Linked DNA regions of Oryctolagus cuniculus. The protein of the gene in region 1 binds, or shares a complex with, the protein of each later gene. Links are inferred from orthologs where the notes say so. Each region holds a gene or a part of one and is shown in the gene's direction. Other genes may lie near its edges.

Region 1 (10,003 bases):
GGCTCAGCGCTGGTCCCTGGATGTAAACTCTTGTACTAGCTAAGTCATCCTTCATCCTTTACATTTCAAAGGGGTGAGGATCACTTCTGGTGAACTGCCTGCTGACGTTTTACTATTTTATTTTAGTACAGATTTCATTCATTTGCTCATTAATTATAACTCCCATTAGACCAGCCTTTTAGGGACTTACGATCTAGTGGGGTCTTAATGGTCTTCCATCTGTGAAGTACAATACAACCCATAATAAAGTTGATCTTGCATAAGCATGAAATAGTTACTTGACAAGAGCCAGAGAAATCACCTGTATGTATTTCATGCACAAGGTAGGAGAAAGATGTCAGTGAAGTTCTCTACTTCACCAAGTATATCCGTTAGGTGGATTTGGAGGGTGTTTTCTCTTTCAGAAGAACACATTGTGGTTCTAGTTCTTTATTTTCAACATGTTGGCCCTGAAACCCTTTCATCTGGGCAGCTCTGCTTAAAGAATCATCTTTTAGCTCTTTCGAACATTTTCCCCTAGGTGGCGCCATTTGAAGCTCTCTGAGCCTCTCTGGGCCTACATCTCCACCAAGCCCCTTGTATACCTTGGACAGGCAGCTGTGCCTGCAAGGCCTGCACAGAGCTGCTAGTTCCCAGCTCTTGTAGGACCTGCGGTGCTTCAGGTTGATTTCCAGCTGGTCTTTCTAAAAATTTCTCATTGTATTTGAAAGGCAGGCACATGAGAGAGAGAGAGAATCTTCCATGGTTCACCCTCCAAAAGCCCACCAGGCTGAATCCAGGAGCCCAGAACTCCATCTGTGTCTGCCACATGGGTGGGCGATGACCAAGCCCTTGAGCCACCACCTACTGCCTCTCAAAGTAAGCACTAAGAGGAAGCTGGGTAGGGAGGTCAAAGAGCTGGAATTCCAACCACACACTCCAATACAGGATACGGGCATCCCAAGTGTCTACTCATGTGCTGTACCAAACGCCTGCCCCCTAATTTGTCTCTCAGGGGACCATCATGTGCCTTCCCACCCTCCTTTGAATGGTGGCTTATGTAACTGGTCCTCCTCCTGAACTCTGCAGTCTGTGGAGTATTCCTTTATGCATGAGGACTGTCTGCCCAAATAGATTATAGAGTCTTTAACGACTTTGTATGCCTCGGGCATCTGGCATAAGACACTGCCTGCACTGGCAGTCTGCGAGCGTGTTTGTGGATGATGTAGGTGAGTGGCATTCTTTTGTTTATCCATCACTTACTGAGGATCTGTTCTCGGCTAGGCACGCTCTTGGGTGTCAGGAAAGCTGAAGTCCAGGCTTTCAAGCGGCTCCTGATCCTGGAGGGAAGGGGAGGGAGGGAGGAGGTGAGGGGGGCTGAGAGATAAGGATGAAGCATCCCCACAGGCGTGTCTGGATTACCCCTACAGGTTTTCTTCCCCAGGAGATGCCTTTAGAAGAGCAAAACCACTGTGTGAGACTGAACTATGCCTTTTTTGTTTTCTTTTCCAGTCCCCTAGGGACACAGTGATGTGCTTGTGGGGGTGGGTGTCCTTCTCAGGGCACCATAGACGTGAAGGTTTTACCATTTTTCCCCCTAAAGTTCAATGCTCTTACTGTTTTGTTCTTTGCTTTTGAGGTCTCTGGTAACTGCCCTGAATTTTCAAAATGGTCTATTGTCTATTGCTAATTTGCTTTTATGTGATATGTATTTCTGGAAAATCTACTTGTTCTTTAAAGTACAAACGTCCCCTTTCCTGGGAGGACAGAAGGAATTATTCCTTCCTTTTTCTTTCTTTACATTGTGACTTCTATCACAACTTTAATACAACCTGACTTCACTTTGTGTTTCATTTTGGCTGTTCAGAGGCTCATTATTCCTTTAGACTATTAAGCCTACTGAGGGTAAAGACCATATCTTATCTTAGTAGGCGTGTCTTCTTGGACCTTCACCACTAGTTACTGATACAGGGTAGGTAATGAGTAAATGCTTGTTGATTAAAAACCTGGAATTTTGTAATAGGATCCATGTTTAGTTCCCTAACGCTTCTAGGACAGAGTCAACATCAGTAATTTCTGCATGGATTGTTTGATTTTGGTTGTAGGAATATTTGCTAGGCACATGCTTTCCAGATAATATCAAAGAATTTTTGGATTCATCTGCATTCAGATTAGGACTTTCTTTTCCTGCTTCCTTCTTGACACCTAGACATTGTTTTATCACTAGAGTTTTGGTTTTCCTCACTTCTTGATTTGTTCCTAATACTTGTCATGACAATTCATATATCTAGTAACAGCCAGCCAGGGTATGTCTCTGATGCTGAGAATAGGGGATGACAAAAGTTTATATCTGAGATCTGTTGAAGCAGTTTAATTTCTTTCATCAAGCAATAGGTCAAATGTACTGATAGTCTTCTGATAGTTTTCTGGCACACTTTGAAAGACATTTTCAAGTCTCAGAGGACACTAGGCTAGGAAACCCAATTTGAAGCTCAAGAGAGCTATTTGGTTTCCAGTGTTTTGTATTTCTCCTACTCACATATATCCATGTATTACAGGATACAACCATATCAGGTTTTCCCGTGAAGCCATTTTACATCACTGCATATTGAATGCCATTCTTTTCATTTCTTTTGTCACTGATATTTAAATTTTCATTCCATAGCAAGTGTAGTGGTTCTTTGTAGTCATTCGTATAAATTTGCTCATTCTACTCTCCTGGCCAAGGTGAAACTCAATCATTTTCCTTGGCCAAAAATCCTTTTAAAAAATATAGATTTTATGTTTTGATGGCTTGCTTAATCTAAGTGCTGGCTTGGAGTGTGTGTGAAGGGCTGGAGGAAATGATAAATGAAGGAAGGAAGTCGCACACCTGGTGTCCATGAACCCAGGGTGCATTCCTGGCCTGCAGCAGTAGCACAGCCGTGGCACCAGGAGCATCTCCCAGCAAACGTGGAACAGCGATTCTCTTCAGAAAACACCATTTACCCTGAAGACCTCGGTTTCCATCAAGGCTGGAGGCGGAAGAGCTTGGCTTTTTGCAGCTTTCAGGCCAAATCAAGCCTGAAGGAGCAAACTTCTTGTTGTTACTTATCGGGAAGATCACCACGAAACACATACGCAACACTTTTACATAAACTTAACCGGAAGTGGAAAAGGAAAAATAAGAAAAAAAAAAACCTAGAAACAAATCTTGATTTTCCCATTTAAAATTTTTTATTCTTTTCTTTCATCCCGCACGGATTTACATGCTCCCAGAAGCCACCCATAAGTTCCATCTCGGTGGAGCAGGGTACATTCGGTGACTTGGCTGTGAAAACATCGCGTGCCTTTTCAAAAACGAGGAGCATCTGTAAAACGGAAACAAGAACAACAGAAAACCAAAACCAAAATCACCTCAACAGCATGAAAAGTTGGAGCCTGCCAGGAAGCTCCCGGCAACTTGGGCAGCTTCATTTTTCTGCTCAGATTTCTATCTCAAGTGAATTGCAGGGTCCTCGCCCCCTACCCCTCGGGGAGGCAGTGACCACTCCTCTCCGGCCACAGCCCACCCGGAGAGAATCGTATTTTCTAAGATTCAACTGGGGTCAGTAGTGACGAGAGGCAGCTTCTAACCGAATGGCGTTTGAGGAATAACCTCGGGAAAAGACAGAGGCCACCGCACAGCGGCCTCGCGGAGCCGGGCAGGGGGTCTCCGGCGCTGCCAGCGGGGAGCCGGGCAGGGGGTCTCCGGCGCCAGCCGGTGCATGGGCTCGGGGCCGACTCCCGCGGCTTCCAGGCGGGGCCGAGGCGGCGCTCCGGGGCTGGTGGGCTGAGAGGCAGGCGGAGGCCGCCATATTCCCGCTCCACCACGCCCGGGCGGCCGCAGGTTGCCGGGGTTCCGGCCCGCGGTCGCAGCCGCCCGCTCAACCCGAGCGGCTGTCAGCGGGCCCTGCCCCTAGCCGAGGGCGGCTGCGTCCGCCGGAGCCCGCCGGCCTCCACGGAGGGCGCGGGAGAGGGCGGCGCCCGCGGAGCCTGAGGGGGCCGGCCCAGTCAGGGAGCTGCGCGAGCGAGGCGAGAGCCGCACTGGGCGGCGCGGCGCGCGGCTGCGAGCCCAGGGAGAGCCTTCCAAGAGGGGCCGGGCGGCTCCGCCTCCCGCGCCCGTCCCTCCGCCTCCGCCTCCTGCCCCTCCTCCTCCTCCGCCTCCTCCCGCCGCCGCCGCTGCCGCCGCCGCCGCCGCCTCCCTCCCGGATCTGTGCTCCAGTTCAGAGAAAGAAGAAAATGTGTGTGTGTGGCGAGGGGGAGGGCGATCACTGAGCAGCCGCTCCGCGCCTGGCAATCGGGGCCGGGGGTGGGCGTTTGGCGGAGGCGGAGGCGGAGGCGGAGGCGGAGGAGCGCGCGGCGGGCCGGGCCGGCGAGCGGGGTTTGCGCGCTTAGCCGGGCGGTGGGCGCGGGCAGGGCCGCGGGCGCCCGGGAGCCGTGTCAGGCGGCGGCGAGGAGCGGGCGCGCCGGGTGCGGGGAGCGGTCGGCGGCCGCTCGCTAGGGGGGCGCCCCGGTGGATGTGCTCTCGCCGCCGGGCGCAAACCGTAGGGGAGCCTCGGCGGCGGCGCGGGGGGCGAGGCGGGCTGCCCGTTCCCGGGGAAGGAGGCGCGGGCGTCTGAGCGAGGCCGGGCGCGGCGGCCTTCCCTTGCGCGCCCCCCGAGCCAGCGCCCGCGGCCGCCTCCCGCGCCCGCCTCGCTCCGCCGGGCGGCGAAGGCCTCCTGCGCCCGCCTAGACCCCGGCCCACCTGGTGGCCCCGGCCCTGGCCGTCGCCCCCGCGGCGGTTCCGCGATCTCATCCCGGACGCGCGCCCAGGCGGCGGGGGCTCAGCGGCCACCGCTGCCTCGGGGGAGCGAGGGCGGGAGGGTGTGTGTGTGCGCGCGTGTGAGCAGGGGGTGCCGGCGGGGCTGCAGCGGAGGCACTTTGGAAGAATGACTCTGGAGTCCATCATGGCGTGCTGCCTGAGCGAGGAGGCCAAGGAAGCCCGGCGGATCAACGACGAGATCGAGCGGCAGCTCCGCAGGGACAAGCGGGACGCCCGCCGGGAGCTCAAACTGCTGCTACTGGGTGAGTACGGCCCGGGCCGGCCGTGCGGGCCCTCCCCCGGGCCTCTGCGCGCCCCCAGCCCCCGCCTCCGGCCCCTCCGGGCAGCCGCCCCCAGCCCCCGGGCTCGCCCCTACCCTCCCCGGGCGCGCCCCCGGCCTCCACCCGCACCCGCGCGGGTACGCGCGCGCGCGCACACACACGCCCGTGCGCGCGGAGGGTTCGGGGCTGCCTTGTTGGGTGCCTCGGCGCGTGCTGTCTTGTGTGTCCCTTGTTGTGGGGGGGGCTTGCGTTCTCTGCGGTGTCTCTGCTCAATGGCAGATCAGATCTGGCTAGGGGCGCGGGGCTGGGAAGGTGGGCTGAGGGCTTGAACTTGCAGCGCCGGGGCCGCCGCGCCCCCAGGGGTGGTGGAGCTGTGTGTGTGTGTGTGTGTGTGTGTGTGTATGTCGCCCGGAGGGTGGCGAGCCGAGCCGGGGCACAGGGCGCGGGCGGGCGGGGGGGAGATGGCGCGCCGTGAGGTGGCCGTTGTGCATCCATTATCGGTGCGTTCTGGGGTCCAGGAGAAGTGGGGGAGCCACCGGTGGGCAGACTGGCGAGTGGGATCCCCAGGGGTGAAAACTAGAAGCCCAGCAGGGGTCGACCCTCCCCAGCCAGGGGTTCGTGGGGTGGGGGCGGGGAGGGCGGGCAAGCCCCCGTGTGTCACCCGAGTGTTCTTCTGCAGCCACCAGGCCACCCACAGGAGGGGCCCAGCAGAGTTTCTTGGCCAGTGGATGGTGGCAGGCGTGCTTCTCGGCTGCACCATTCCTTCCGGATTAGGACCGGGGCGAGGGGAGCGTGGCTGGCGTGGTTGTTGACAGCGACGGGTATCTTTTGTCTAATGAGGCATCCCAGATCTAGGCCTGAATTCACAACAGTACCGCAGCCTTTCCGTCCCTCTCCGGGGGAAAGAGAGAAACCTTTTGTTTGAAACGGACAGCATTGTAGTGTCTTGGGCATCAGGGCTGCAAAGGAAAATTTCCCTCTGGTCTCTGAATCAACAGCCCCGCGTTCTGCTTTCACGCGAAGTTAGCAAGAGAATGCCGTCTCTCGAATAGGCGTCTATGGATGATTACCTCCGAGAGAATGCTCGGAATCAGGCCACCAGGGTTCACAGACAAGCCAGCGTGAGGGCACCCGGAGCTATTGTGGTCGGCAGAGGCCTGGAGGACGTCTGCACTTGTGTTCTGCGTGTTTGTGTGTGCATAATAAATGCGCGTCTCCGACAGGAGAGAGTGTGGTCTGGGCAGTTCGGGTGGCAGAAGCCTGTATTCCCTCTCTTATCTTGAGCATTCCATCTGCTGGAGAACCAACTGTCTTTGGGGACTCAACTGCTCGTGCACTGGATCCTTTGCAAACAGGAACAAAATAACAGGGCCACCCGTACTTACGAATGGCTACTCTGCTCGCCGGGCTGTGTGTCTTCCTTCTGAAGCCCTGTTAGACAAATGTACACAGGTTCATAAAGGAACAGAAGGCAGCGGGCTGGGGGGAAGAGGTGGGCTTGAGGCCGTGAAGCCGGGGGAGGGAAACACTGCGCTTGGAAAGTGAGGTTCTTTAAAAAAATATATTTTTTTTAAATTTTATTCTCATTTTGGAGGTTGAACATTTTCTGAATTCTCGGGATTGAGAAGAAAGTGGAGAGAACAAGGGAAGGTGTTTAAATACAGAATTCAGGGGAGAAAACATGTGGTGAAGAGAGACTTGTTTGAAGAGCTGGGTTTTCTTTTCCTTTTGCCCTGTTTACTGCCTTTATTTGTTTCTGTTTAGCTGTGAACAGGGCGTCTAAGGTCTCTGCAGTCAGCTCTGTTGGCCTGAACTATGACAGCTCTGGGTTTCCCAGCAGCTGTGCCTTAGCACAGGGGCTTTGTCAGAGGGCCTGGGTTTGAATGCCCAAGAGGGAAGAACACTTCCATAGAGGCTTAATTACATGCCCTGTGCTGTGCTTTTATGGAATGAACCGGGAGATCATTTTCTGAGGAAAGAAAAATGTAAGGTACAGTTTCACAGCTTACGTGGTGGTGGTGTGGAGACTTCGCTCTTATTAGACATTTCAGTAGGGTTTCATATGGCCCACCTCATCCCCATACTATGGCCCATTAGAAGTGGTAGAAAAATAGGATATTAATTGAGCATCTACATTCATGAGTGCCATTTGAAAATGCATCTCTCTGACAGAAGCTTGATCCTCACACATCGTTAGGAATTCCTACTTCATGTTCTAGGCGTGTGGCTTTTGTGACTTAACCAGTGCAGTGCCCACACTACTCACGTGGTAAAGATAGGTGCTGAATGTAGATGTGTGCCTGTGTGTGAATGGTGGGTGAGTCCAGGAGGGAGCCGAGGGCTGAGCTGAGCAGGGAAGGGTAACGGGGCGGCTTCCGGCAGAGGGATTTCTGCTGTGCTGCTCTGATGAGTACCCTGAATTTTCCCGATCCTTCCTTCATTTACACAGAGCCTACCCCGAGGGAGGGGGTTACAGAATGTGTTCTCTCAGAGTGTCTAAAGATCTGGTATTTTAAACTACCTACTTAAATGGAGGAATCAACCTTATAGTAAATGAAATGCAAGATAAAATTATTTTCAAAGTAAATTTTAATTTAAGACATGGCAGCATTTAAAGGAATTGTGTGGTAGGGATAAATGTGTGTACCCTTGCATTTGTTCACACAACTATTTAATATATATTAATAATATGGAGGAATTAGAGAAGGAAAGTAGTGTTTGGCTGACGACACAGAAGTGTGGCAGTAGAATTTGTGCTGTTTTGATTCATATCCAGCCATTATGGTAATGTCTTCCAAATTTATTCTGCAGTACTTGCATATTTTAATTTTTAATCTTTTTAAAAATGAACCCTGAAATCTACCACCTTAAGAATATCTTCTTAATTTCTGAGTTCATATTTTCTTAAAATTATTCTCTTAATTTATTTACTTTAGTGATTGTTTTCTTTGACACCTAAGGAAACTTTGTATTCTACATAGACATACAAAAGCATGCTCTGTTTTAACTTTACTGCTGTTTTTATGTATTTTCTAGGTGAAAAGTACATTATATTTGCTTTGATTAATATTCATGAATTCACTAAATATTTCTTTCAGTAGTACATGGGCCACACCATTTAATATTAATTTGTCTTCAGGTCTGTAAAACAAGTTGTCCCAAATGCTTGCCTTGGGTTATAGATGTTCATTGTGAAATTGTTTTCAATTCCTAGAAGATACACTTTTTCCCCTCTTAACCTGCTCTTATTTTATGCATGTTTGACATCTTTTCTGTTTAGATCATAATCATCAAATAGGAAGATTTTGCGAATTTGGGAGGGAGAGGGAGGGAGAGGTAGAGAAGAGAGAGCAGGAAGGGGAGGCAGAGAAGGAAGTGAGAGAAGGAAGGCAAAGTTTAGGTCAATGTTAAATGAATGCGGTCTTGGTTTTCTGAACTGAATTACATGCATGGCTGTAGATTTTATTCCTATTCTGCACTGCAAGATTGTAGGCATGGAGATTGTGTCTATTTGGTTCACTATTAAATCTCAGCTTGTTGTACATGTTCTAACTCATAGAATGCCCTCAGAAAGTATTTGCTGAATGAAAGATTTTATTTGTGACCCTCCTGCTAGAAGTTGGGATCTGATAATAATGAATAAATTATAAGAGCCAGAGGGATAGGTAATGTTTTTATCTACAGCACATAAAATCATGATCTTTTGAAAATTGTATGTGGCTGTTGGAGCCAGTTGGTTACAAATGCATCACATAGTTGATCCTGTATATTACAGTTCTGTGCTGGGTACACTGCGAATGGAACAGTCTTGCCCAAAGTGAAAATTTAAAGGAAAAAAACCTGTTGTCATCTTGATTACCTTTTTATCATGTAGTGGGTGGTTTAACCCTGTTGTCTTTTTGCCAGACATTTTTCTCTATGATGCACTTAGCAGAGTGAATTTTTAATATTCTGTTGAGAACAGATGATGACCAAACAGATTTTTGTGATTTACTTAACAATGTTACATGAGGAAAACCACAATGGGTAAATACAGAATTCTAGGGATTGCAGATGGAACATTTTTTGATACAAGGGGCATACATCTTGTACTGAACGCTGAACAGTTGGAGAGCAAGAAGAGACTCGGAAGCCTGGGAATGTTCTGGCCAATTTAGACTATATGGAGGGTTCATTCATGCACACCTTTGGATCAAAGCACCCTTCCCTCTGTCCTTAGTAGACTGGGGATGGGGGAGGGCTGGGCAGGTTGATGGCTGCAGTTAACCTAGAGGCTGCTGGCTGTCTAGAGGTGCTCCTTAGAACTCTAGAATGAAAGCATTTCTCCACCAACCCTAATAATATCATCTCCCTGGAAAGACCAGAATATGGTGTTGATGAAGCTGCTTTAAGGATCAGCCAGTTTTATTTTTTGCTACTGTTAGCTTCTGAGTGTTGAGTATGTTTCTAAATGTCAGGATTTATTTGGATGCATTCCCTCTTTTTTATTTTTTTTATTCCTTTGATCAAAGTCCTTAAAGTTTATACCTGAAGAGTGAAGTGGAGACATCCGTCATGAAAATCTGCCTGTAGCCCTGACTGTGTAGCAGTGCCTTCAGAGTGAGATCTTGTATTGAGCTATGTGGATGGCATGTGACAGTCAGTCCTGTGCTTAGGTTATTTCTTCCTGTGGGCACTTTGGCCCGGATTCAAACCCTACCCAACAGTGAATTTATTTCGTGAGTATCTGTTCAGATATTTTTAGGTGAGTTTGGAAAGGAGAACCAGAAGAATAATTTAATAGCCATTTTGTTTACTACAAATAACTTTGATAACCTCCTTTTCATAAAAAAAAAAACAACAACAACAGCAATTCAGCTTCACTGTTTGAGAGATGGCTTAGGTTCAGTTTTCAGAAGTGTCTGTAGTTAGAATTTTTATT
Region 2 (10,003 bases), about 92 Mb from region 1:
TTGGCTGTACAAAAAGAGAAAAACAAAACTAGAGCATATTGGAATATCGTTGTCATCTGGTTGGCTTAGCTATGATTTTTCATCTACAAGCATCCTCTTCTACTAACTGCCTGTTACAATTGAGATTGAATCTCTACCAAACGCTAGGACCCTCCCTTCCTGCTCTGGATTCCATGTCTCACTTCTCAGGAACATTGCCTTATTAATTAACCATTCTCTCTGTGTCTTTAATCTTTCTATATATTCTAGTAGTTCTATCAGCAAAAATAAATAAATTCTGGTCCTCCAATCCTTAAAAATATATTTCCTTCCTCATCCACCTCTAGAGAGTTCTCCCTGCTTTCTTTTCCTTAATAATTATACTTCTAAAGCATCTGCCTGAAGTCACTCAATCTATTTCCTCCCATCATATTCAATTTTCAATACATTCACTCTTCGGCCTCAGCAATCTCACAAAATAGCTTTTGCCTGGTTTCCAAAGATCATCAGGTCACTAAATTCAGAGCCCTCTTCTCAGTCCTCATTTTCTCAATGCAGGAGCATCATTTCAATGAGTCCATCACTCTTTCCGTGAGCCTCTTTTCCTTTTGCTTCCATGCTGTTTCTCTCCTTTTCATCCTCTCTCTCTGTCTGTTCCTCTAATTCTTTTATGGGCTTGTCTTTCTCTATACAGTCTTTAAACAATGGTCTTCTCCAGAAATCTGACCTGGTCCCTATTTCTGCATATTCTACACACTCTCCTTCATTCTGTGGTTTGCATTATTTCCTACACAAGCTGTGTACTCAGATTTCTTCTGGAATTTCTTCTTAGATGTCTAATTGGCATCTGAAACTTAACATATTCACGACAGAACAGATTTGCTTGTGGGAGTTGCTCTCTGCTAGTTACTATTTTCTCTGTTTGGTTGAAGTCAAGGTTATTTATTTTATTGAGAGTGAAGGGAGAGTGTGTGTGTGTCAGGATGGGAGACTGAATTAGAGATTTTATGAGTCCAGAAAATTTGAGAAAAAATACTGTGTAAAATGGGAAAAAGAAGGTGATTGAAGAAATTTAGTAAGACTTCTACTGTGGGATGCAGAATTGTATGAGCTGAATCCTGATTTCTAAAATTGCTGACTTTGAATTCTGGCTCTTTCACCTAGTAGCTTTGTGGCCTTAGGAAAGTTACTGAAACACTCTCTCTCTCTCTCACTCTGTCAGTTTTTTCATCTAAAATCACGGTTAGTGACATTGGGCCTGTATTTATAGTTCCCTATGAGGAATAAATGCAATTAAGGGTAACGTGCCTGGAACACAGTAGGTGATCATCATACAGTTGCTACCCAGTTACCAGAAATCTTACTAATTTTTATTTCCTCCTTCCCCATTACCCTCTTCATGCAAACCATTTAAATTTGGCTTTTACCCTCCTAAAGAGATCTGAGAGGCCAGAGTTGTGGTGCAGCAGGTTAAGCTGCTGTTTACAAGCTTACATCCCATATCAGAGTACCAATTTGAGTCCCAGCTCTTCTGCTTTCAATCCAGCTCCTTGCTAACATGTCTGAGAAAGAAGCTGATGGCAAGTTCTTGGGCCCTGTCACGCATGTGGGAGACCCATATGGAGTTCCTGGTTCCTGGCTTTGGCCTGATCCATTTCTCTACTATTGCAACCAACTGGGGAGTAAACCAGCAGATAATTGATCTCGGTCACTCTGGCTTTCAAATAAGTAAATAGATCTTTAGAGAGAGAGAGAGAGAGAGAGATCCTGAATCCATCCTTTCTACCACTTTCATAACTTTAGTTCAAGCCACTGTCACCTCTCACCTGAATGACTCTTATGCAGTCCCATTAGTGTTGCCCCTTGAGTTGCTTTCCACACAGCTGCCACTGCAATCTTGCCAAATCTTTCTAAATCTTAACAGATTTCCTGTGTTCCCACTTCTTCCTAGCCTGGTTTGCAAAGGTCTGCCTTTGCTGCCTCCTGATTGGAAGGAGCATTATTCTTCTACTAATTCTGTAACATCCACTTAGTGGCTTCAAACAACACCTGTTTGTTAACTCACAGATCCGTTGGTTAGAAATCTACATGGTGTGGCTGGGTTTTGTGCCCAGGGTACCACAACATGTCAGCCAGACTGAATCATGTTCTAGAGGAGTGGGGAATGACTGACAGCCTTGTTCTTTTGCTGGCTGTTGCCTGAGGACTGCTGAGAGCTAAAGGCCTCTTTCATGTGCTTTCCCTGTGCCTTCCTCCATCCTCAAGCCAGTAGCAGCTACCCAACTCCTCGCCACATGGTCCCCTCCATCTTTGAGCCATCAAAAGTGTGTTGAATCCCACCAACTCCTCAAATCTCTCAGATTGCTTCTGCTGGTGCCCAGCTGAAAACTATTAGCTTTTACTCTTGTAATTTGTTTAAGACTAGTTAAATGATATCACTAGCTTGAGGTCACTTGATTAGTAACATTAATTCTACCTGAAATATATCTTTGTCTTATAACAAAATACATATGGGCATAATACCTCATCATAGATAGATACTCATGGAGATTATACAAGGGTAAAGTCACTGGGGTCATTTTATAATTCCAACTATCCCAGAAGAAGCCAGGAGAATCATCTCTGAGAAATTGCTTTTGGGCTAAGATCAGATAAATAAATTAATTAGATAATAATGGAAAGGAGATGCTTCCAGAGAGTATGGCAAAAGCCATGTAACTGGAGGACATATTGCAAACAACAAAAAAGGTATGGGGTGGGAAGTAGGGGAAGACCATCATGTCTACAATAGAAAGAACGAGATTCATAATGACTTGAAATAAACTGGCTAGAGAGGTCAGCAGGAGCCAGATCATGGGGGTTTTGTAGATCCTGTTAAAAGGTTTTCTCTGGCCAGTGCCGCAGCTCACTAGGCTAATCCTCCACCTTGCGGCGCCGGCACACCGGGTTCTATTCCCGGTCGGGGCGCCGAATTCTGTCCCACTTGCCCCTCTTCCAGGCCAGCTCTCTGCTGTGGCCTGGGAGTACAGTGGAGGATGGCCCAAGTGCTTGGGCCCTGCACCCCATAGGAGACCAGGAGAAGCACCTGGCTCCTGCCTTTGGATCAGCGCGGTGCACCGGCTGCAGTGCGCCGGCCGCGCCGGCCATTGGAGGGTGAACCAACAGCAAAGGAAGATCCTTCTCTCTGTCTCTCTCTCTCTCACTGTCCACTCTGCCTGTCAAAAATAAAAAAAAAAGGTTTTCTCCATCCCAAAGTGGAAGTCATAAGAACAACATAATCAGATTTGTATTCTGCACATATTACTCTGGCTATAAGGTGCAGGATGTATGTAAGGAGCCATCATTTAAATGTGATTCCTTAAGAGGCTAAAACTAATGCAGGAGATTTTAGGCCAGTATCAGTAGCTGCACAAGCCGACCAAAGCAAGGAGAACTCGGTAGCTAAAATCAACAGGATTTCATGAATGATTGAATATGGGAATGATGTAGTCATATTTCCCAGGAAGCAGACTCTAAAACAGAGATTACTGTGAAGGATGTTTACTAATGAATGCTCTTGGAGTCAACACCTGTGAAAGAGAGAGGATGAAAATAAGGTTGGACAAAGTGGGACGCTGCAGTCATTTTGTCCCAACTGGGTTTATGAACATCTTTCAGAGGTGTCCTCCAGGGGAATGAGGGCACTTAACCTTTATACCTCTGAGCTGATCTGTGCTCCAGAAAGGAAACATGACTTTGGGTAAGCTGGCTTGCTTCTGCTCAGGCAACTCCTGAAAGGGACTGACAGCTGAGGGCTCTATTCCAGCAGAACTCTCAGCAACTGAAGAATAAATCCTTCATTTTTGACTATGAGTCTGGGCTTGCGTCACAGCCTCCATTACAGGAATGAGGGATACAGGGGAGTAAGGCAATAAAGATGACTCCTACATTTCTTATTTGTGCATCTTGGTGGATGCACTTATGGTCATACATTGCAATCACTGGCATAGTTGGGAAAATTTTCATTACAGTTGGTGCTACTCAGGGACACTGTATAGGACAGCTAGTGCACAGCCCTTACTTATAAAATGGTTTGCTGAACAAGTGAATGTTCATCTAGTTCTACTTCCACTCCTGCTCCCCCACCTTTTCTTTGTTCCCTCGGCCTTACAACCATCCGATGTGGGAAAGGTTCAGCAGGTTATCTAAAGCTCCACCTGTGCTCCAGCCGAATAAACAGCAAACCAAGCTCTTCTGGTCCAGGGCTCTCTGATGGGTAAGGCAGGCAGTGCCAGGTGGAAGGGAAGGTGGAGCAGGTGAGGACATCCTCATCCATCCCAGCTTCAACCCTTCTGCAAGGTTTCAGCCCCTATAAACTCAACTCTAGTTGGAGCATGTCCTCTCTCCAAGAGACTTATTGAACAAGGGCTCTCCAAATTCCGCATAAATCCAGACCCTATTCTCTCTCTCTAATCTGTTCTTCCACTTTTGCCCCAACCTCTTAACAGCTACTGCTGGGGTCAGAATATGAAATTTCTGGTCTTATCGCAGTTTCTTTGGAGTGGCGGAAGGATAGCGGGCAGGACTGGAACGCACAGGAGGCAATGCTGCCTCAAGAAGCTGACCATGCTCGCATCCTGCACGCGTACCTTCAGCTTTGTTCCCGCTGCACCCCAATGACCCAGCTCCCTTCCAACCCCCTCTCGTGGGAACTTGACACCCTACACAGGCGGCTCCACCTGCGCTGAGAGCAAACAGGAAGCCTAGCGTGTCAGGAGAAGGTGGGCGCTGCCTGGAGACCGCAGACAGCCAGCCGCCTCCTCCCCTCTTTTCCCTGGGCCCCCGGCCGGCCAGAGTTGGACCCATATTCCATCCTCACCCGATTCGGGGTTTATCTTGCACATTTCTCGGCGCACCTCCAGTCTCCCTCACCCCCGAGGCAGACTCTTGCCCTGGGCAGCCCTTCCCCTGCCAAAGCTCCCCTGGAGGCAAATGCTGCCCCCTCACTCCTGTCCCATTACTAAGGGTCGCTTGGAAGCCTGGGTATTGAGCCTTAGATAGGAGGTGAAGTGTGGGGGGACAGATGCAGGGGCTGCCCAGCCCGAAGCGAGGAGCTGCAAGAAACGACTGTAGCGATTGGGTAGCGATCTTAGCAGCCACTGCGGCACAGTACGGAAAGGCGAGGGCACCGGTGCCGCAGCGGGTGACCCCAGGTGCATAGACCCTGTTTCCAACGCCACCTCCACATCCCCTGAATTCCCGGGGTAAAGGTGTTGGATCCGCGGCAGGGCGCCATGCCCTAGCCCTCCTACCCGCCTTTCCCCACCACACACACACACACACACACACAGAGAGAGAGAGAGAGAGAGAGAGAGAGAGAGAGAGAGAGAGAGAGAGACTTCTTCCCCAGAGTCGGGGGCGGTGGTGAAGAAGGTTGGGCAGAAAAACCATCTCCAAGGAAGACGGGGGAGGCTTGCAAGGAGGCGAGGCTGACAGTCACGTAGTGGGCGCGTAACTCCCGAACCGGGCTGGGGGGCGGAGAGTCACCTGGCGGGACAAGCAGCTCAGAGCCGGGGAGGGACAGGCTTAGGCGGGGCGAGCCGAGTGCGAGTGGAGGGCGGGGGCCAGGGCCGGAGGCTGCGACCGGGCAGGGCGGGGGTGGAGTAGGCGGGAGCCGGATCGCGGCGGGAGCCGCGTCGCAGCGCGAGCAGGTGGAGCCGCGGCGGGAGCCCCCCTGGCTGAGCTGAGCGAGGTGGCGGGCTCGGCGGGGGCCATGGAGCTGCTAAAGCTGAACCGGAGCGTGCAGGGATCCGGATCCGGACCGGTGGCTTCCCTGTGCCGCCCGGGTGGCCCCCTCCTCAACAACAGCGGTACCGGCAACCTCAGCTGCGAGCCCCCGCGCATCCGCGGAGCCGGGACACGAGGTGGGTGCCTCCCTACGCCCGCGCCACAAGCTCCTTCTCACTGCACCCCATAACACTCATAGAGACCCCCACGATGATCTTAACATTGCATATCCAAACGCCACGGGATCCCCTCCTAGTACTATTCTCCCAGCCCCCGAACACCCCCCTCACACATTCAGAGCTGCCCCCGCAGCTCCTACAACTCCATCACAGCTTCCCGTCCCCTAGTTAGAACCCCTTCACATCCTGGTCCCCTGACCACCCCAACATGCAGCCCCCTCCCCATCACATAGACAATTGGGAGGCAAGGACCTCCTCCTTTGGCTGACACCTGTATATATCTGCCTTTTCCATCCTCTTCAGAGCCACAACTGGGAAGGGAAGAAAGAGGCAGGCAATTTTAGGAAGGGAAGGTGCTGGTTGAGGGAGGGAGCACTCTGGGAAGTTAGGGTTGTAATCTCCTGTGTCCCACATCCCACCCCTCGTCCTGCCTCTACTAATATCCTCAAGTCTGAATTAGGATGGACACTGGGTGATGGTCCTTACAGCTCTTGTCTCCAATTCACTCATCCTCAAACCTTTGTCCTCCCAAGCTGGAGTTCTCAAGGCCGTGTGTGCTCTCTCTTTTTCTATCTCCATGTAATGTCTCCAAATCCCTTTCAAGCTTCCTATCCAGCCTCTCCTCACACCTCCTAGAACCTGGTTTCCCCCTTCACCCCATCTGTTTGTGTCACCATCTCCTCTCCTCACCTCCCCTTCAGATTGCTGCCAGTTACTCGGTTTTCCAAATGACTTTCACCGTTCCCATCAGCAGCCATCTCAAAATACGTTTTTCCCTCTCCTGCACCTTTCCTTTCCTTTAGTGTTTCCTGAACGCTTGATATTGTAGTCCCTAGGCTAGGTGTTGGGAGACACAGAGGTGAACTAGACCCCTTCTGTACTCTCATGAGTCCATGGTCAGGTGGAAGGGGGAGATGAGCCAATGGAAAGAAGCACAGTCAGCATGGAACTCTCATGAGAAGGTCTGAACCCTAAGGAGGTGAAAGTCCAAGAACTTCAGAGGATGGAAGTTGGGAGCTGGGTCTTCAAGTTCAGCAGGTCTTGAGTTTAGAAGGCAGAAAAGGAAGGAGTGGGGCTATAGGACAGAGAGCAATGTTAAGGAGAAGAAAATCATTCTAAACCCAAGAAGAGAAAGTTGGAAATCAACTGTAATCCAAATGCCTATTTACTCCATACAATAACCTATGCTTTCTCAGCCCAATGTTACATGCTGTCACTTAGATTCCCTCATTCAGCAAATATTTATTGAAACAGAGATTGTATCAGGCAGAGGGGACGTGAGTTGAACAAAATGGACACAATTCCTACTTCATGGATCTCCAAGTTTAGTGGGGGAGAAAGAGTAAGCAGGGAATGGCAGCACAAATTGTCTTGCCAGGGGAACACAATGGAAATACAAGAGAACCACCTGCAGCCTAGCTTTGCCTTGGGAATTAAGGTCAGCCTCTGAGCAGGTAAGTTATGCATTGAAACCAAAAAGGTGAGGGACAGCCAGCCACATGAAAGAACACAAGAAGCAGAAAGCATCCCTAGCACAGGAACAGGATATGTAATAAATAAATAAATAAAACCTTAAAGTTTAAATCTGTGTCACCTTTGTTCAGTGTGACATCATTTCTGAGCAGCTGTGTACCATTAAAGAGAAATAAACACTCAGGCTGCAGACCAGTCAGTGTGTTTATGGAGCACCTTAAAGACCTGGCTACAGAGCATAGAGTTTATCCCAAGAGCAAATGGATCTACTGAAAGATTGAGTAGTACTGCCAGGATTCACTCTGTAGTGTAGAGGACGGATTGAAGAACATAAAACGGAATGCAGAGGAATACTTCAGAGGCTATTGTATTACACTGTTCTGGGAGAAATATGATGCTAGCTTACACTAAGATACTTGCAGTAGAGTACAGAGAAGTGAATGGATTTGAGAGCCACTTCTGGAAATGGAATCAACAGAATTTGGAATTGATTATAAGTGGAGAGGATTGAAGAGGTCAAGGGATGACAACTAGGTTTCTGGCTTGGACAATTGAATGAATGTTGGTGCTATGTAATGAAGGCAACAGACAGCTAGAAATAGATTTGGAAGAAGGGATTATTAGCTGTTTGGAACCCACTGAATTTAAATACTGGGGAGACTTTCCAGTGGGGTTACCCATTCAGCTGTTGAATTTGGAGGCCTGGAACTTACTGGAAGGGTCTGAGCTGGAAATATAGATTCAAAAGGTCATTGCTTACAGGAGGTAATGGAAGTCAGAGCAATAGATGAAGTCATACAAAGATTGTGTAGAATGAGAAGAAAAGAGGCCCTGAAAGAGGACCCTGTGGAAGACCAGTATTTAAAAACCAGGCACAGGAAGAAGATTCCGTGAAAGATATCCAGAAAAAAGCCATCAGAGAGACAAGAGTTGTGTCCTTCCAGAAGGCAAGGAAAAAGAGTGATAAGCATAGTAGGTGAAGCAATGTTGAATGTTGCAAATGTAATTCAAATGACAGAACAGGATATTTCTTTTTTTTAACTTTTTTTAAAAATTTATTTGACAGATAGAGTTAGATAGTGAGAGAGAGACAGAGAGAAAGGTCTTCCTTCCGTTGGTTCACCCCCTAAATGGCCGCCACGGCTGGCGCTGTGCTGATCCAAAGTCAGGAGCCAGGTGCTTCTTGCTGGTCTCCCATGCGGGTGCTTGGGCCCAAACACTTGGGCCATCCTCCACTGCCTTCCTAGGCCACAGCAGAGAGCTGGACTGGAAGAGGAGCAACCGGGACTAGAACCCGGCGCCCACGTGGGATGCCGGTGCTGCAGGCAGAGAATTAACCAAGTGAGTCACGGCGCTGGCCCAGAATAGCATATTTCAACAACAAGAAATTCCTTAGGAGAAATTTTTAAGATCTGACTAGAGTAGGGTGGCAATTGGGCTGGTGGTTGAGAGAGAATATGAGAAGTAAAGCAGGGTGTGTAAACAGACTTTCAAGAAGTTTGGTATAAGAGATAGAGATAAAAAGAGAAATAGGATTATGCCAAAATTAGCATGGGGTTGAGGAAGGTGTATGGTGTGTGTGTGTGTGTGTGTGTGTGTGTGTAGTTTTGTCTTTTGGGTGTTTGTATATGTGGTAGATAGAAAAAAAATTTTTAATTGGTAGGAAATGTGCAAAGAGAATGGAAGATTGAAGGTGTAGGTGAGAAAGAGGTGAGAAAGGAATAGTTAATAGAGCAAGGATCCTTGAGAAAGCAAGATGTGACATGATTCAGAGTGCAGGTGCAAAAATAGTCTTCACTTATCTGGATATTATTGCTCACATACATTCTGACGTTACCCGGGCAGTCAGGTGTCATATGGAGTGCCTGTTAGTCACATTCACTCAGCTATTATCCCACAGGTGCACATGCTGCCCACACTTACTACAACATTACCAACAGAAATGTAAATTTTGCCCACTTTATTCTTACATAATCTATGCAGACTTGAGTATAACCCATTTTCACTTAGATGCTACCCACAGAAATAGAGGTTATTCACATTTACTTAAATGTCACCCAATCATTTAGATGTTACCCACCAATCAAACACTTTCATTTTATCATTAGCTACACAAAATCACACATTCTCATGTTTAACTAGCCCTTCTCTAGATGCTGCCCTTAAACTCACAGCTATTATTCTTCCATATTTAGATATTACCTGCAAAGACTCAAATATTACTTCAGATACTCAGCTATTTCACTCAATCAGATTAACATTTTAACTTAGAATAATCTAAAGTGTTAACAGTTCACATCCATACCTCTTAAAAACTGCCCACACATACTTGGATATTATTTGCTCATTCATCTATTGTGATCATCACTTGGACTGACCCCCATTAACATATGTAACATATGTACTTGGGTTTCTCCAAGTCTCCCTAGATGACATATCATTTCATAGGTAACAACTTCAGGATACATAAATTATATTCAAAGATCTGCTCATTCAAACCTTACAACACTTCCTTAGATATGACCTAAGCTTAAATGCAACCCACATTGGATCAGGTGGGACTTAGAAACATATAGATGTTATCCTCCTCTAGATATTACTCACAG
Region 3 (10,003 bases), on another chromosome or scaffold:
TGGAGACTGCATTAATTTATTCATGAGGGCAGAGCCTCCATGACTCACTCACTTCTCAAAGGCCCCACCTCCCAAAACAACTATGCTGGGAATAAAATTTTAGTAAGGGTTTTGGTAGGGACAACCACACCCAAATCATAGACCCATCAGTGAAGTTTACAACACCCTAAAACAATAGCAAAGGAGGTAAGGAAATAGGAGTGGAGTCGGGGAAGGAGGAGCTGTGTCATTCAAGGACAGGCATCCCAGATGAGCCCCTCTCTGAAGAGGTAGCACTTGAATAGAGAGCAAAGGAAGAGAGGGAGAAAAGCACTCCAGGCAGAGAAGGAAATGCAGATTTCAAGGCAGGATGAACCGGGTGCATTCAAAGACTAGCAGGAAGCCAGTATGTGGAGTCAGGCAAGAATACAGAAAATTTATTTTATTTTATTTTATTTTATTTTATTTTATTTTTAAATATGGAACGCTTCATGAATTTGCGGGTCATCCTTGCGCAGGGACCATGCTAAACTTCTCTGTATTGTTCCAATTTTTTAGTATGTGTGCTGCCGAAGCAAGCACAAGAATACAGGATATTTAAAAAACAAACTAGAAAACCAGGCATGGGCTATGCAGACTTTAATGGGCCATGGATATTACTCTAAGTGAGAAAGGAAGTACTTTCTAGTCCAAGAGCTGCCAGTTGGACAAGCTTCCCCTTGATGCAATTATTCCAGTGAAATCAATCTATCCTTCTATGAGACTGTCTCAATATTCTTCTCCCTCTAACTTAGCTATCAAATAAGCTCCTTGGGGTATTCTGTTCTTAGCAATTAAGGGCTCCGATAATCTCTCAGATACTTCATGCAATTAGACCATGATTCTGTGTATAATGGATATTTAAGATTCTACAATTCCAAAGTAAATTTCCACACCAAAAGTATTTTTAAAAAGTCATTATTTTAAATTTTTATGAAAGGCAGAGAGACAGTGAGAGAAAGAAAGACAAAGACCTCTGTCTGCTGGGTCACTGCCCAAATGCCTGCAACAACCGGGAACTCAACCCAAGTCTTGCACCTGGGTGGGGGTGGCAGGGATCCAAGCGCTTGAGTCAGCTTCTGCTGCCTCCCAAGGTGCTCATTGGCAGGGAACTGGAATTGGGAACAGAGCCAGGATTCGAACTCAGATCTCTGATGTGGGCATCCCAAGTGGCATCTTAACCATGAAACCAAATGCCAGCCTCCCCAGAGGTAGTTTTAACTGCTGGAGACATGGTGTACCTCTTTTTTTTTTGACAGGCAGAGTGGACAGTGAGAGAGAGAGACAGAGAGAAAGGTCTTCCTTTGCCGTTGGTTCACCCTCCAATGGCCGCTGCGGCCAGCGCGCTGCGGCCCGCGCACCACAATGATCCGAAGGCAGGAGCCAGGTACTTATCCTGGTCTCCCATGGGGTGCAGGGCCCAGGCACTTGGGCCATCCTCCACTGCACTCCCTGGCCATAGCAGAGAGCTGGCCTGGAAGAGGGGCAACCGGGACAGAATCCGGTGCCCCGACCGGGACTAGAACCCGGTGTGCCGGCGCCGCAAGGCGGAGGATTAGCGCCAGCCTTGGTGTACCTCTTTAACCATATGTGTTTTTACACTGGTCCAAATGGGTTTAAGTGAACAGTAGGGGCAGCTGCCTTGGGGAAGTCAGCTTGGAGATGGGAAGTGCGGGCCTGGAAAGAGGGGGGAGCCCCATGCTCTTGCCCTTGGGGATTGATGCAGACCAAGTCTATACCAGAAGAATGTGTGGTTAGGGAGCAAAGACTGAATTGTGAATAAATGCCCCAGCACCGTTAAATCTCCCAGAACGTTGTCTCTCTTAGACCAGTTACCTGAGGGAGAATCTGCTAGCGCCCTGTTCCCTGGTACAAGTGTCACAGTGGTGCTCCTGGTGCTCAAGGCTTGCTTGGGGCTCTCCCCTGGGATTTACCCTGAAAGGGAGTTGATGCAACTTACATCAAAATCTGTCTTTGCGGAAGTCAGGTCTCTGGGAAGGCATGCCACCAAGTCTCAGATTCCCTGGCTGGTAGGACGTCACAAGTTGTAGTGCATGCAGCGTCTGAGCTCCTGCGGCTTCATTTCTGACAAGCAGGCAGCTGCCACTGCTTCTTGCCCTGGAGTGAAGGGAAGGTGGCGGTCGTCCCCGCCCCTCCCGGCTCCTCCCAGGCAGCCCTTCAGCAGCCTCTAGACCGCACTGGTGGTTGGAAAGTTCTCATTCATTTTGGACAGAAATCTGCACCACCATATCATCCATGCTCTGATCATAATAGAGCATGGGGCAGGAAGAACTTTCTAACCCAAAGAGCTGCCCATTGAACAAGCGTCCCCTTGATGCAATGATTCCAGTGGAAGCACCTTGTCCTTCTGTGGGGCTTTCGGAATATTCGTCTCCCTCTGGCATAGCTATCAAATAAGCTCCTAGGGGAATTCTGTTGTTAGCAGTTAGGGGCTCAGATGATCTCTCAGGTCTATCATGCAATTAGATCATGGTTCTGTATGTCATGAATGTTTGGATTCTACAATCCCAAAGTAAATTTCCTACACCAAAAGTATTGGTGCTCTTGGTTCCTTTCAAATTGCCTATGTTTCTTGTTTAAGTACATTCGTCTTCAATGCAAACTACACCACCTTGTAAGCGGAAAACCTATTATCACTTAGATATTAACTGCATAAAGGATAATAGCAGATGGAAGAGAAAGTGATGATATTAAATTCTACTTAGCAGCTGTTGCCTAGCAAAGGTTCGGGGGTGGGGAGCAAGCTTTCTTTTAAAACAGATTAGCCGGTGTTAGAGAGATGTGAAGACAAATATCACAAAAATGACATTTCTTCCTTGACATAATCCATAGGAATAAGAGAATTAAAAAAAAAGTAAGATTTTCCACCTTATGATACACTGTTATTTACTGTTCTTGTCTGTTTACCACAGCAAACCATGTGTAGGGGGAAGATATACACTCTGGGAAACACTGGCAAAGCCATCAGGCACCTGCTGGAGATGATCAAGTTCAGGTCTGGGTGCTATTGCCTCCTGGCTGCCCAGTCCTAGCTACTGTAGCACTGTAAGCGGCAGTCTCTTCAGCTTTGAAATGGCGGCAGTACTACTAGTTCAGAGTGACAATTTCTTGAAGTCAGTACCCAGATGTGAGCACCACGCCCAGGTGTGAGCTGACCATCAAGGAGCAAGACAGCCATGTCATTCAGCTTTTGGGTTGAATGAATTCCCATTTTGGCCACAGACAAGGAGATTCTGGGAGCCAACTAAAATCTCTAAGATATTTTGCTGTGTACCCCCATCACAAACTTGTATGGCGGGTGTTTGGGCGTGAGGCAGACCCTTGGCACTTGTTCTTGGTAACCAGATTCCCGCCTTGACTGCACGCAGGTGTTGAACAGGTGCTGAGCTCCTACTCCCTCCCCCACCCTTCATCTGAGGGAAGAGAAGCCCATGGGCAGACGTGGACCCCAGGATTTGGCACCCCGGCTGCCGGGCTGTGTTCCTGTAAAGACACAACATGAAAACATTTTGCTCAACTATTTATCAGACCCTTTTCTTGAATCACCCATTTAAAAGGTAGGGTTACAGAGAAGAAATCTGCATTTGCATTTAATTAATTATATCTATTAACATTAATTTATTAACTAATTTATTAATTATTATAAATTAATTATTAAGCATGGTATCTATGCAATTTTAAAATTTTTCACTTAGCATTATTTGTAAATATTATTTGTAAATACTGTGTTAGTTCACATTGCCCTTTTGAAATCTGTAAATAAATGCTCTCTCCTTATTCTAAAAAGAACTTAAGGCACTTCCGTCTTGGTGTTTATCATTTTGATGGCTGTATAATATCTCATTAGGTCACCCTACCACAATTTATTTAACCAGTTTCCTATTGGCCTTACTTGCATTTTGTGTTTTTTACAGTTGTTATCTTCTGCCACAAATATCTTGTTAGGAACATCTGTACTTGCGTCTGATTTTGTTCTGGAAATTTCTCCAAGTGTGGAATTACTACATTAAAGGGAGTATTTTTGTGGGGAGGACCGGCGCATTGTTACAGAGACTAGAAAACTGCCCACCAAAAGGGTTGGCTTCATTTGAGGGCGAAAAGCAAAAACCGGTCCTCTACAAAACAAATTAACTTCCCACTTATTCAGAAAATACTGGAGCACGGTGATGGGTGCTAGGCGCCGTGCCAGAGACAGGACAGGGAGAGGGCGGGTGCCGGCCCTACGAGAGCCACAGTGGTGTCCGCTGGAGGAGCCGCGGCGCAGCGGGAGAAGCGAGCACCAAGCGCGCTTTGGCACCCGAGCGTCCGCGAGGAGCTGTTTGCAGCACAGACAGGGTCGCGGCGTGGGCGCTCACTTGACCTGAGCCCTGCAGAAGGAGTAAGAGTTCTGGCACGAGATTCATATTTCTTTCGTTGTGACTCGATGGACCTTTCTTAAAAACAAGTCCGATCCTTGGCGCAGAGAAGTCATCGTCGTAAGCCCTCAAGAAACTAAGCCGCTTTCCATCTCCAAGGAAGCAGGGGAAGGGGGACCTTCCCGACGGCAGCAGCAGGACCCGAGGCTGGGGCCGGTGACGGTAGAGGACCTGAGCGTCCCCCGGGCGCCAGACGCGACGCGCAGACCTGGAGAGAGGGAACGCGCGCCCTCGGCGTCCAGCTTCGGGGAGTCCGCTCCTTTCAGTTTGGGCTGGAGAGACGGTAGGGGAGCCGGGATAGAGAGCAGAGGGAGCCCGCAGGTGGGCTCGGAGCGGAGCTGGACTCTTTTGGGACCCCGAGGGGGCAGGCGGGCGGGGAACTGGAGAGGGGCGGAGCTCCCAGGTCGCGGCCGCCGCAGCCGCCCAGAGGGTCTGCGGGGGCTGCTGAGGCCGGACCCGAGGGCTGGCCCTGGGAGCACCAGGGAGCGGCGCGCCCCTGCCAGATCGTGACCTTGCCATTGCGAGCGGGGCCCGCGCGTGCCGTCCTGAGCTTAACCCCAAGCCCATCCTCGTGGAGACGCACAGCCGCTGGGCTGCAGCTGCCCCGTGCGAGGGAACCCAGGCCGGGGCGCCAGGTAAGACCAGGGGACGCTCGGAGAGCAGGTGAACGGGGGTCTGGGAGCCACTGGCATCGCGGCCGAACGAGGGGCTCAAGCCTGGGGAGCTTGGACCTTTACGCCTTGGTCGCGGAGCGTGGAAGAATCAGGACCCAGGCTGGGGACCCTACTGCTGAGTGACAGCCCAGAGGGGCTGCGGGTCGCTGTCGGGGATGGACGGAGGGCGCACTAAGACGCAGGCTGGGGGGTGCTGCCTTGTGCCTCTGCCTGTGAGGCGGTCAGAAAATTGAACTTTCCTTGTGTTGAGACGGGGACAGGTGGCGTTCTAGCGTATACTTGTGTCGTGGGGAGGGCCACAGCGTCAGCACCCGTCCTGCTGGGCCCCGTGCCCTCCCTCAGCATTCCTGGTCCAGGCCACCAGCTGCCTTGCCTCGGGGGGCACCACACGAAGGTGTTAGTTCCCACTTGCCTGATCAGACTGATGGTTAATCTTTCATTAGTTTAAGATTCTAGTTTTCAACAGATAAGACACGCACGTGATTTAAAAAAAAACAAACAATAATACAAATGTTTGCCTGGACTAGCACCGTTCCTACTGCCCACCTTGTTGACCTGCATCCTGCCTGCTCTGCTTGTCCTGTGGCCTCCTCTTGGCACTTTATTCCGCTCCTGCATTTTGAATATACCAGCAGGAAATGACGTCACCACCACTGCCGGCAGCCTTCAAGTCCAGCGCTCTCCCTTGGAGCAGCTCAGCTTTCCTCTCAAGGGGGTCTTCAGGGTAGGGGGCCCACTGAGGAGAAGACAGCTCGTTTGCTTAACTCTGCCAGCCCTGTGAAGAAAGGCCATTGGGGAAGAGCCCAGGAGTCTGTACTGACCTCTTCTCTTCAGGACATGGGGCCTTGCAAGTGCGCCCGCTCGGTGGCGTCTGGTACTGAGGGGAGCGAATGAAGGGTGTTTCCTGCCTTGCACTAGATTTCCAGGATGGAAGGCGCCACTAGCGGCTGGCTCTTCCTTAAAGTAGAACTTGGCCAGTTCCACCTGGCTCTGTCTCTCCTGCCTCCAGCCCACGTCTCCCAGGGTGAAGTGCCCCTGTAGGTACTTTAGAAGGAGGGTGCCTTGGGCCTGCCTCTGTGAAGGGGTTCCAGGGCCAAAAGCTCTGTGGAGTTGGGGAGATGTAAAAGAGGGAGTTGGAGGAGAACAGGGTAGCAGGAAGGGAGGTGCAGTCCGAGACCCTTAGGTGCAGAAGAATCCTAGCACGCAGGGCCCTGCCTCTCCCAGAGGCCCCCGGATCATTTTGTTGAGAGATCACACAGGTGGCTTCCTTCGTGTTAACAACAGGCACACTCAGTTTTTTTCCAAGACTTTTTCTAGGCTAGGCCAAAGTGTATTGAGAAATAAAAAAAATTCAGCAAATCACCCCCATTTTTGTTTATATGATAGAATGGAGTAGTTGAAATTGTTTCTACTGAATTAACAGGTACTTAAGGAGCTAGGTGAATTGTTTAAAACACCTAATGGCTCCTCCAGCCACCACATTTTCTTTTATTTTCTCCCTTTCTCGGTGTTGTGTGACCTTGAGCTGAACCCACGTCTGTCAGAAAGTTTGAGTTGGTTAGATGCTACCACTTCTCAGGTTCATTGACTGTGAGGTGGGGGTGGGGGAGGAAGGAGAGGATTAGGACTGATCCTTGGGGGTGGGGGCAGGCAGTGACCAAGAAGGATAGGGTGAGTGCGAGTACAGATTGGCAAGGAGCTGCTTGTCATCTTTAAGGGAGCAGGGCAGTGAGTGGGTAGGAAGTGAAAGAAATCATTCATTCATTAAAAATGCTTGTAGAGACCCTATCAATGCACTGCCCACTGGGAATAAAACTAGGCAAGGTCATTGCTTTGCGGGCAGCTGCTAGTAAAATAGCTGAGTGTTGACTATGTGATTGCAAACGAAGATAAGCTCCCTAAAGGAAAGAGGCAAAGTTCCTTGAAGCTGTATACAGACTTTCTCCAGGAGCTCTCCAAGGAGCTGAGACTCAAGGGCGGATGGGAAGGTTGGCGATCTCCTTGGTTTTGAGGTAGGACTGGAGTGCATCAGTTAGGAACTACACTTGGCTGCTGGTTCATCAGGGAGACTGGCTGTCCCGTCGCTTCCGCCACACCACCTGTGCACAGGTGCAGTGGTGAGCTTTCTGGCAGAGCATCAATGCGCTGTCTTGAGTTGGTCATGATTTTCCATGACTGTGGTCTTGCTTTTAAATTAAATGCTTAGATTAACTTTAGTCTTATCAGTTTTATTTTATTGCGTACATATTGCAGTTCAAATGTGAATCAGCCATACTCTGATAAGAAAAAAATGTATATAAGCCTAATATCAAATTTGGCTTTTACAATGACAGTTCACTGTTATCACTGAATAGCTTCCCAGGTGGCAGGTGGACATAATATCATCGCTGGACCTGTAACCACTGCTCTAATTGGGAGGGTGTCGAGTTTTAGTTATCCTCAAGCTGCATATACCTTCACAAAGCTTCATATGCAGTTCTTTAGCAAAGAAGAAATACAGTATACCAATATTATTGATGTTGTAAGCAAAAGTAATATAAATCACACAATATAGTGCATGGGGTATTCCAACCAAGCAACGTGTTTCATATTCCAAAAAACATCTTCATTCATCCAGTACATTCGCAGTAAATTTCTGTGGGCTCACCACTGTGCTAGATCAGTAAGTCACAGCCGCAGCCTTTCAGGAATTCACAGCCGTGTCAGAGGGAGGTCCGACTCATCCATGTAAAGGGAGTCCGTACTGTGCTCGCTGTAGTGGAAGCATAATCAAGAACAGCGATGAGCAAGGTGGGGAGCCCTCAATTCCAAGGGGAAGAGGGGTCAGGATGTTTCCTGGAGCAGAAAACACTTGGATTGAGTCTTGGAAGATGAGATATTCCACCAAATAAACCAAGGGGGGAAGGCATCCTGGGAGAGAGATTCATGCAAAAGCAAACAACCAACCACCATCACAACAACAGAAAACAGAGGCACAAAGCAGTATGTCAAGGTGTAGGACTTGCAGGTGCTTCAATGGCCTGAAGCCCAAGACACAGAGAGAGCTCACTGAGCCATGAGGCTGGAGAGACGGGCAGGCTAGCAAGGTGGCTGACGGATGACCCCACAGGCCCAAGAGTGAGCCAGGGTTCTGCCATTTGCTAGCTGTAGGACCTCCGTCGAGTATCTGAGCCCTGGAAATTAATGGTGACAAAGGTCGTACTCCCTCATGGGATTGCTGTGAAGATTGAAATAAGATAGGCAGTACCTGGCACAGATCAAGTGCCCAGTAATTGTTGGCTCTTACTGTTGTTGTTTCTCTGAGGGCAAAGGAGGATGTGAGAGGATTCTACCTGGGAGGGCGTCTTAGAGAGATTTTGGTTCAGCGCCCAGTCATCCTGACCGCATGTGGATGCGAGGTTTGAAGGGAGCAGAGTGACCACTTAGAGATGTTGCGACTCTTCACATATGGTGAAGTGCCCGGACCGTAGTGGTTACAGCAGTGGCCATGGAGAAAGAGAGCTAAATGCTTGAGCTATCCCCCAGGGAGACTCCACCACAGAACTCAGTCATCGGATGTGCTGTGCGGAGAGAGAAGGTGGAGACGCCATATCTGAGACTCAGGTCTGCGGTCCTTTGGCTCTGTGTGACCCACGTGTTCTTGGGGTAAATCAGAGGGAACTGGGTCTCACACAGGGCTGGAGATTAGGAACCTGGGAGGGGCTTATGTGCAGAAGACTCCATGATTGGTACCAAAAATGTTGACTGTCCAATTCAGAGGACTCCTGGATGACTTCTGGGTTGTAACACAAAGCAGAATCAGGACGGTCTAGGGTGATCCTGGACAGATATAATCCTGTCTCTTCCTGTGTCTCCCTTGTGGGAGGCTTAGTTCAGGGCAAATGAACTTTAGACTTCAGCCGTTTGTCATCGCTGCGGAGGGCACATAAAACCTTCCCTCCTGCCTGCTGGTTTGGATAGCCTCTGATCTGACAGCAGCCTGATTGATTTTTTTTTTTTTTTTTTTGCTTCTGCTTTTCTCAAGTGTCCTCCCACAATCCAGCAAGCACTGATTGAGGTGCCCACACAAAGTGATTAAAGTCGGTGAGTGTGAGGGGGCTTGGGTGGTGACTGACTTGTGTGATAGCATTTGTTGAACAGTACCCAGGAGTGATGTGTCTGTTTCTACCCACAGTGGATGCAAGGAAGTGTTCATTAAGTGTGTACTGTCAGCTTCAGTTGCTTGAACAGCTGTATTATTACTTGAAGCCACAGCAATGAGCAGACAGCATAATTAAGCAGCGCCAAGTGAGTGAGGTGGCCAAATGTGGAATGAGGGAAAATAAGATTAGCCTCGGTTCTGGACAGTCTTTGGTTGAAAGTGGACTTTGTGGGGCCGGCGCTGTGGCATAGTAGGCTAAGCCTCCACCTGCAGCATCCCATATGGGCGCCAGTTCTGGTCCCGGCTGCTCCTCTTCCAAAGAAGCTCCTGTCTTCTGGCTTCTGATCAGCTCAGCTCCGGCTGTTGTGGCCATCTGGGGAGTGAACCAGCAGATGGAAGACTTTCTCTCTGTCTCTCCCTCTCTATGTCTGTAACCCTACCTCTCAAATAAATTAAAAATAATTTTTTTTTAAAAAGTGGTTTGGGAACCAGAGTTGTGGTACAATGTGTAAGACCACCACCTGAGACACCAGTGTCACATATCAGAATGCTGGTTCACACCCTAGCTACTCTGCTTCCAATCCAGCTTCCTGCTAATGTGCCTGGGAAGGCAACAGAAAATGGCCCAATACTTGGGTCCTGCCACCCATGCGGGAGACCAGAATGGAGTTCCTGGCTCCTGGCTTCAGCCTGGTCCAGCCCTGGCTGTTGAAGCCATTTGGAGAGTGAACTGG

Evidence for each region.
Region 2: the proteins of guanine nucleotide-binding protein G(q) subunit alpha (region 1) and CCKBR are in contact, whole or in part, in a cryo-EM structure (PDB 7F8W), measured with the Homo sapiens proteins. The link is inferred for Oryctolagus cuniculus from reciprocal best matches to the Homo sapiens genes GNAQ and CCKBR. Residues at the interface, in NP_002063.2 of Homo sapiens: Arg30, Arg34, Asp35, Arg37, Arg38, Leu40, Ser198, Val199, Phe341, Lys345, Asp346, Ile348, Leu349, Gln350, Asn352, Leu353, Lys354, Glu355, Tyr356, Asn357, Leu358, Val359; in NP_795344.1 of Homo sapiens: Thr87, Val88, Thr89, Asn90, Glu151, Arg152, Ala155, Ile156, Pro159, Leu160, Ala162, Arg163, Val164, Trp165, Gln166, Thr167, Ile241, Leu245, Gly248, Leu249, Val331, Leu335, His394, Arg396, Phe397.
Region 3: the proteins of guanine nucleotide-binding protein G(q) subunit alpha (region 1) and CASR are in contact, whole or in part, in a cryo-EM structure (PDB 8SZG), measured with the Homo sapiens proteins. The link is inferred for Oryctolagus cuniculus from reciprocal best matches to the Homo sapiens genes GNAQ and CASR. Residues at the interface, in NP_002063.2 of Homo sapiens: His63, Leu196, Gln197, Ser198, Ile323, Tyr325, Ile337, Arg338, Phe339, Phe341, Ala342, Lys345, Asp346, Ile348, Leu349, Gln350, Leu351, Asn352, Leu353, Glu355, Tyr356, Leu358, Val359; in NP_000379.3 of Homo sapiens: Lys644, Ala645, Asn647, Arg701, Val702, Leu704, Val705, Phe706, Ala708, Lys709, Ile710, Pro711, Thr712, Phe714, Phe801, Arg873, Thr876, Ala877, His879, Ala880, Phe881, Val883, Ala884, Arg886, Ala887, Thr888, Leu889.

Annotation. Positions count from the first base shown.
Region 1 is NC_091432.1:152,213,501-152,223,503, forward strand, and holds the start of guanine nucleotide-binding protein G(q) subunit alpha, read left to right. Parts: upstream 1-4,737; 5' UTR 4,738-4,928; coding exon 4,929-5,064; intron 5,065-10,003. Other genes in the region: uncharacterized protein, read right to left, coding at 3,224-3,329, 3,595-3,815.
Region 2 is NC_091432.1:60,623,110-60,633,112, reverse strand, and holds the start of CCKBR (gastrin/cholecystokinin type B receptor), read left to right. Parts: upstream 1-5,334; 5' UTR 5,335-5,731; coding exon 5,732-5,882; intron 5,883-5,900; exon of another isoform or gene 5,901-10,003. UniProt on the Homo sapiens protein: Receptor for gastrin and cholecystokinin. The CCK-B receptors occur throughout the central nervous system where they modulate anxiety, analgesia, arousal, and neuroleptic activity.
Region 3 is NC_091435.1:78,389,099-78,399,101, forward strand, and holds the start of CASR (extracellular calcium-sensing receptor), read left to right. Parts: upstream 1-4,893; 5' UTR 4,894-5,089; intron 5,090-10,003. UniProt on the Homo sapiens protein: G-protein-coupled receptor that senses changes in the extracellular concentration of calcium ions and plays a key role in maintaining calcium homeostasis.